2 linked regions of the Rattus norvegicus genome follow. The protein of the gene in region 2 interacts with the protein of the main gene of each other region in a pairwise test. Links are inferred from orthologs where the notes say so. Each region holds a gene or a part of one and is shown on either strand. Other genes may lie near its edges. The genes, in order: Spart and Smurf2.

Region 1 (3,812 bases), on a different chromosome or scaffold from region 2:
TCATGCAGACCTGGTTTCAGAGACCATGACAACTGTCACTGGAGTTAATTCATAAGCTCTGGAAACTTATGAGGTATTTAAATTAAGTTTTAATTTAATTAAACTCTAAACAAACCAATACAATCTAGTACCATCGGAGAGAAAATTTCTTCCAGGGAAACACTATTAACTTATTTTCAACAAACAGATATTCAGAGATAGATTCTACAGACAGACCTAAGCTGCTGCAATGACATCAACACTGACGATGCAGAATGGAGCTAAGAGGAGTGAGGGTTAGTCAGCAGGCGCTGCTGCAGCTGAGCTGGGGGGTGGGGGGGTTAAGTTGTTTACTGTTTTCCATTATTCCTGTAGCTCTTCACCTGCCTCAATCTAAAAATGTGAAATGTTAATGTAACTGACAAAAAGTTCTCTATATATTCACCTGAAAAGTTTCCGTGTTCCTGCTCCCTCATACAACGCCCGCAGACACGGGTACGGAAGCTTTTCTAAGGCATTAGTTTTCTCTCAGGCATAATGCATGTGATGTCAGCAGATTTTAAACTCTGTGGGAGAGCAGTGCAGTCAGGACACGGCTTCAGTACACTGACATGAGCAGAACGCAAGCGTGCATTCTACTTCCTGCAGTGTCAAAGATTAAGGATAGAGAGAGTGTGTACATTTAAGTAATAAGAACCAAAGTAAAGGAAGGAATTTAGGAATGGCTCTCCACTCTCCCATCCTATCACTGAACTCTTATTGGCTCAACAGGTCTGTCCCTTTCTACTCCTGGGCCAGATTACCTCTGCAGGTGAAAATCTGGAATAGTGGGGCCCAATCTTTAATCCCCCAAGATTCTATTGGCATAAATTAAATCACTTTAAGAACAATCACTCTTGGGCTGGAGAGATGGCTCAGTGGTTAAGAGCACCGACTGCTCTTCCAGAGGTCCAGAGTTCAAATCCCAGCAACCACATGGTAGCTCACAACCATCTGTTATGGAATCTGATCCTCTTCTGGTGTGTCTGAAGACAGCTACAGTGTACTTATGTATAATAAATAAATATTAAAAAAAAAAAGAACAATCACTCTTGTACTCACAAGTCCACTGCTGGGCAACTCTGCCTTATTTATTCACACTGTGTAACTCTGGAGAACAGAATAAAGTAACACTAATAGACAGCACACAGGAGTGAGTTCACTCAGAACCTTGTGAAAATACCTGGTTCATCACACCAGGCTCCTCCATAACAATCTACACATATTCAGAGAAAATAAAACAAACACCTTCACTTTCTGTAGTAAGAACGGTAATCATAATTTTCTCTGTATTTGCTTTCAGCTCTCTGGTTAAAACTGGCAGCCAGGTTGATCTGTTGTGTCCCTTTGATTTGAAGGCACACCCACACTGAGAGAACAAAGCAATTTAGGACGGAAATCAAATGTAGTACTACCTAAGCCAAAAGCAGTCTAAATGGTGGCAGAGGTCAACCCAGAGCACTGAAGTTGTGCAGAGAGCTCTTCAAGGACAGAGAAGGCACAGCACCCTGCCCTGACTGTGGGACATGGGACCTGGTTTACATCACAGCTCTGCCACTCAACTAGGGATGTAAGCTCTAACAAGTTTTTAACTTTTAATGTTTTTGTTTCCTTGTGTATAAAACTATAGAAATGTTAAATTTATATAATACATGAGAAACCCTGAGCACAGTACTAATATGAAATAAAAACTCAAATATTAATCCACTTTCTACATGTGCATATTCTGTGCATGTTTGCATTCACACGTGTGTGAAGGCCTAAAACCAATGTAGTCCTTGATTGCGTTCCCCTTTGTTAACTAAGCTGAGCCTCTCACTGAACCCAGCGATCTCCAGTTCCATTTTGCTGTATGACTGCCCTGGACTCCATCTGCCTCCCTTGCTCACGTGTTGTGTGACCTTTGTTAGCTGGGGGTCTGAACTCAAGTGCTCAGGCTTAGGCAAGAGCTGTGTCCACTGGACCTCACTGCAGCCCGCCTGTCCCTCTTCCTAAGTAAAGCGTAAGAGTCAAACTAAGAAGAAAACAGCTTGGGTCCCACTAGATCTAGTTTTTTAAGGTCCAGATTTCTGTAATTCAGACAGAAGAAAGAAGGAGAACATGACCAAAAGTATAATCCATGCACATATGAAATGTTATAAAAACAAAACACTATTTTGTACATATACACTGTTTAAAAACCGTAAGTTCAAACAAAGAAGACACACCCAAAATGGCATTTTAAATTTGTTCTTTAATAACATTGCCCAAGTATTTGGTTCTCAAAAGTAAGTGGAACCAGAAGTATGGTGCCACTTCGGCCTAGTTCAAACTTTACTCTGTATGTAGTTTGTTGGTGACTCAGCAGACTTGTTCCTCTCGCTGACTTGATTCCACAGCTCCCATTCACAACTGCTGACCACTAACAAAACAAATGGCTAACTCCAGAGTCCTGAGTGACTTCCCCTTCCATGGTTTCTCTAAGGCAGCTGGCCTACCTCCCCACCCCTCACACACACACACTAAAGCCCAAATGCCATGGACCTTAATAAAGTCGCAGGCCCTCTTTGCTCTCCTCTATGGAATGTCTGTCCCCCTGTGCCACCTGAGGCCCCACTGACTATGGGGTCTCCTCTTCTCTATGGGCCTGCAGTGAAATGCCTTCAACTTCCTGTGAGTCATCGTGCTGGCTCTAAAGTGTCTCAGCAGCACACAAGCAATCTCGCCTTCCAATCAAGAAGCTCGACACAGATCTGGGGAGCCTCCTGGGACACATAGCTATGAGACGGACATAGCCTAGGTCACCTGCCAAGGGGATGAGGTCTGGCAGCAACCAGCAAGGCACACTGAAGTTACCTCTCTCCAAAGACCTCAGAGCCAACGTAGAAAGAAATCATACACCAACTATCAGCTCACTTCTGTCCTGTCTACCTAATGTATCAAACAGAAGGTAACTGTCTCTTTAGCCCAATATAAATGTGCAATGGGAATCATAACTTAGCACATGAATGCACTAATGTTAAAAGGGGCCTCCAATTCAATCAAGTCTGTTTTCTCCTTCAAGAAATACTACTATCAAAATTATATAGTTAAAAATTATACATATTCTTTGTATTAATGAACATTTATAACAATTAGTAGCACAAATCAAAGCCACAAGAGTTTCATCAGTATACTAAAACTGTTCCCTATTTAGAAAATAGTGAATGGGGAAAAATAAGTTTATCAGAAACAACTAAAAGAAAGCACATAAGCCTCAGCCATGCAGATTGAGCTGATGACACTGGAGATTCACTCTCCAATGACACTGTACTTACTTGTATCTGACAGTCTGTACAGTTTCTGCAGACACGTTGTTAACGATGCATTTAGCTGCACATTCCAGTCCCTGCCAGACAGTTGAGAATCCTGTAAACACAGGTCCGTCAGTCTCACGTGAACAACAGTCTGCTGAGCTGCTCAGGTAGCCCAGGGCCCACCCAGAACACAGCAAACATAAACAAGACAAACCCAGACCCCCGTTACCTTGAACACTACTTGCTGCCACAACCATGGCGCCATCCAGGGTAGACTTCCCATCTTTGTCTCTCTTCAGAGATTCTGGAACGAGTTTGCTTCCATGCTTCTTGACATGTGGAGCGAGTTCTTTGCCAACACAATTCGCTACTGTGCAGACGCCATCAACTAATACAGTCATAGAGAAAAGACTCAGAGAAACCAGTCCCTTGATTTCAGCATCTGCACTGAACAACGTTCTCAAATGGCCACCCATAACTGCTTTTCTGCACGGTGTTACTGTGTCTGATAGGTGAACC
Region 2 (4,383 bases):
TGTTAAACACTTAATCTAAAGGTATGCCAAACATTTCTTAAAGTCTTAACAAAGAATCAACTTTTTTTTTTAAACAAAAAGAGTCCTAGGTTAAATATTTTATTTGGCTTCTCAAGATGGACTGAGAAGTTGGGCACCAGCTCCAGACCAAGTCCTGGACGCACATCAAACACAGCCCTGTCATTTATCCAGTCAGTCAAAACAATCTTTTCCATCTAACCCTTTTATGTTTGTGTCCTAAAAAGCTGCTAATTGAATCCAGCTCTTAAGATCTATTTGTTAAAATTTATACTATTTAATTCGTAAATGATGAACAAAAATGAAAAAATGTGAGTTAATGTTCCTTGCAAAACAGGAGATTCCACCATATGTAATCAAAGAGACAACAATGGTTTTAATATTTGTCAGACTTTGCGAAAACTATTCACAGGAAAATTCCCAATAGCTTTAAAAAATTGAGAGTAGTTCAAACTGTTTTTACAATTAAGAGGAGAGGACAGATATTTAAAATTCTTCAGAAAAAGCTAAGTGTACAAAATCACTCTATAAATTTAGTCGAATGTATCCTCTTGCTCAGAAACTAAGTGTGATCTTTTTCCTCTCAAACTTCACTCAAGGGAAGTTTCTTTAGTGCAGTGGTTATCATGTTCACCTAACAAATGCCACTCATAAATCTTTTTAAACTATCATATACAGAAAAAAAATGACATAAATATAAGAGCTGCTCAGTCACACTACCCCTCAGAACACTGAGGGTTAAGGTATTTTCTCTCAAGCCTGATGACCTAAGTCTGACTGGTAAGACTCACAAGGTGAAAAGGGTGATCCCACCTTATCCTGTCCACCACATGTACTCCATGGCCATGAGACAGACACACACAGACAGAGACACAGACACACACACACACACACACACACACACACACACAGAGAGAGAGAGAGAGAGAGAGAGAGAGAGAGAGAACATAAATGTAACAAAACCTCAGAACTCATTTTTAATAATTCATTTGAATTCTATATGCATTGGGTATGAGTGTGTCAGATCCCCTGGAACTGGAGTTACAGACAGTTGTGACCTGGAATGTGGGTGCTGGGAATTAAACCTTTGGAAGAACAGGCAGTACTCTTAACTATTATGCAATCTCTCCAGCCCACCTCAGAACTCATTTTTATCTAAAGAAAACCCAAACCTCTCTTTTTCTCTCCCATGTATGTATCCCAGAAGAAAATTACAGCCCATTTCCGATGGCTTTTGCACACCTACACTCACAATTTCTTTCTGTAATTGGCACAGACCTGCCTAGTAAGAATATCAATATATAAACTAGAGCACCAAAGATCCTTTATAATTGTGTTCCACTGACTCCCCCAAAAGAACAGTAAAGATGAAGATCAAAGCACGCCCCCCAACCTAGTGTTAATAATACCTTGTGATTTCCCTAGGGAAAGAAACGCTTTCAGGTCAGTGCAATGTATATATTTTTTCATTACTGGAGATTGGGGCAGTATGTGTACACAAGTGCAGGTGCTTGTGGGAGGCCAGATGCATCAGATCCCCTGCAGCTAGAGTTACAGGTGGTAGTGAGCCAAGGACCTGGGTGGGGGGTGCTGGGAGTAGAACTCCGGTCCCCTTAGAGAACAGGATACACTTAACCACTGAGCCATCTCTTCAGCCTCAAAGGGAAAGTATTTGAAGCTGTAGCCAACATACATTCAAACTAAATTCTCAAATACCAAATTCACTTCAAGTTACCTAAAAGGTACAGCCAACGGACTGGCATTTAACACAGGCATTCAACTACAACATTCGTCCACATAAATTTCAAAGTTTAGTGTGGGCAAGCATAATTACAGCTTATCCTTCGCTGGTGCACACACATATGAACCAACTAACTGCAAAATGACGTCTTTTTCACCACACATCTGAATATAAATGCGGACAATTTACTTACTGTGAACGATGCGTCTAGCTAGCAGAGGGACAATAGTTTCACTTACACTCTTTAAACCAAACGCAATTTTCCTTAAAAGGAGGGAGATGCGACCACGGAAGAATATCAGAAGTGGCATCATAAGCAAATTATACCTGTAATACGTTAACAACTTGCTGCACCTGGGAACATAAACAGTCTTTAACAAATCCCTCTGAGCATTCCTTTCCATTTAGAAAGGGGCGCGAAGTGTGGAAGAGAACCAGTAAAAGTTCGCTTAAAAGTTTATGTAGGAGTCCAAGACTTAGAAACACATTTCCAAGCAAGCGATTCTAAACCATGTCTGGAGTTCAGACGTGAGCCACTAGTTCTGCGGCCTACAAGGAACAACCCCAAACACGCTACCCTACAATCAAACAACTTCCAAAACACAGAGTGTACAATGAGCCGGGAGTCGTGGGATCAGGCAGACACGCCGGAAAAGCCAACCACAGTCTCAGTCCCTCCCAGAGACGTGCGTTTTAAGGTGTGTGGCACTGGCCGCAGAGGTTGGCAGCTAGAGAGTAAAGGTTTCACACCCGGGCATAGGTAGGTGTCCAAGTTAACAACCCGGGAACACACGCACTCTCCCGTTAAGCACTCAACTCCATATTTAAGGAGTGTTTACTGCGCGCAGTCAGCAACTGGATTCAGTAATCCCCTTCACGACCCCACCTGGGCAATAGCCCAGGGGCTGCTCCTGTGACCCCAAGAAACTAGATGTCCGGACCTCAAATCCGCCCTCCACGGGAGACCCACGGGCCACACACTTGGCGTTCTGAAGAATTTCCCAACCCCAGCTAAGTGGTTCTCCAATGACTCCCTGAACTAGGCCTTCCCACGCCCGGATTCCCGTCCAACGCCACCACCGACCGCGACCCCGGCCCTCCGCCTGCCCACAGGCGCCGCAGCCGCCCGCCCTGCTCACCTGTCAGGCGCAGCTTGACGGGCCCGTTCCTCCGGCCTCCGGGGTTAGACATGTCCCCAGCGGCGGGGGAGGCGGCGGCGGCGGCGGCGCTCGCGGCCCGCGGGCGGGCGGGCTGGGCTGGGCTGGGACGACGGCGAGGCGCGGAGGAGTCACCACAGCGGCCGGGGCCGGGGTCCGAACAGCCCGCGCCGCGGCCGCCAGGGCCGGAGGGTCCCGGATGTGCCGAGCGCCGTCGCCATGAGCCGCGGAGGGAGCGGGACGCAGAGCTCCCCCCTCCTCCCACTTCTGCTTCCTCGGCCCGGGCCGCACAACAAAGCGGCAGCCGCGGCCGGCCGCGCCGCCTCCGCCTCGCGCCCCCGCCGCCTCCTGTCCTCGCGGCCCGCCTCGGTCTCCCCTTCTCGGTGCCGCGAGGCCTGGGAGCCGATGGTGCGAAGTCTGCTGAGGCGGGCGGGTGCTCGGCCGCTTCCTCCTCCGCCCGCCCTCTTGTCTGAGGGAACCCGGTCCTGGGGCCGCTGCCGCCGCCGCCGCCGCCGCCGCCGCCGCCACTCGTCGGCTCCTGGGGGCGGGGAGGAGACGGGGGCGGGGCCTGTTGCAGGGCGGGGTTTGTGGTGGGCAGGGCCGTCTCGGGGGCGGGGTTGTGGGCGAGGTCTCCTGCGCCTAGGGCGCCGGAGGAAGGCCGGACTCCGCGCGGGACGCAGGGAGCGCGTGTGTCCCGGCCCAGACCCATCTCTGAACTCCACCGCCCGGCGGCGCCGGCTCCGTGGCACCAGAGGGGCCTGCTGACCAGCTAGCTCACTGAAAGACAGCCTGTGTCCCTACAGGGCAGAATGCCCGAGTAATACTCCCACTGCGCGCCCTAAGAGGCTGGCGAGAGTAAAGTAAAGTTAGACCCGAGTCCGAAGAATTAATTCGACAAGACGCTATTCCCACATCGAACGTTCCAGCAAATTCCCAGGAGTGCTTAGCTCTTAGTATTGTAATTGCCACCTCCACGGACTCACCTGGTACTCCAGATCCGGTTACTTACCTGCTCGGACTCTTTTTTTTTTTTCCCTAGCAGGACAGGCATAGGGAGATGATACAAATACCGCCAAGGACTGTGAACAAGATAGATAGGTGGATACTGTGTTTAAAGCTCAGGCAGTACTGTATCTTGCTATCCCAGGAGGAAAAAAAAAAAAAGACAAAATGAACAGGACTGTAACTCTGATGCGGTAACTTACAGTAATAGGAACTTATTCTGGACAAATAAATAATACAGGTGTTTGGGGGTTTTGTTTTACAAGGCTGGGATGAGAGTATAGCCCAATAATGAATTGTATTACATCAGCAGCAAGACATTTTTATGCAGCTATCTAAATGGCAATTGTGGTGACCACGTTACATGGAAGATTTTATATGTAATGCAGGGTTTAAATGGAGAATACAAGTTCTATGTGCACATAAGTAGTAATGAAAACTAAGGATAAAGTGTGGATTTGTATC

The links.
Region 1: the proteins of Smurf2 (region 2) and Spart interact in a two-hybrid assay, tested with the Homo sapiens proteins (2 studies listed by BioGRID and IntAct). The link is inferred for Rattus norvegicus from reciprocal best matches to the Homo sapiens genes SMURF2 and SPART.

The regions. Positions count from the first base shown.
Region 1 is NC_086020.1:141,459,680-141,463,491, reverse strand, and holds part of Spart (spartin), read right to left. Parts: intron 3,682-3,812; coding exon 3,523-3,681; intron 3,406-3,522; coding exon 3,315-3,405; intron 1-3,314. UniProt on the Homo sapiens protein: Lipophagy receptor that plays an important role in lipid droplet (LD) turnover in motor neurons.
Region 2 is NC_086028.1:92,358,729-92,363,111, forward strand, and holds the start of Smurf2 (E3 ubiquitin-protein ligase SMURF2), read right to left. Parts: upstream 3,053-4,383; 5' UTR 2,951-3,052; coding exon 2,899-2,950; intron 1-2,898. UniProt on the Homo sapiens protein: E3 ubiquitin-protein ligase which accepts ubiquitin from an E2 ubiquitin-conjugating enzyme in the form of a thioester and then directly transfers the ubiquitin to targeted substrates.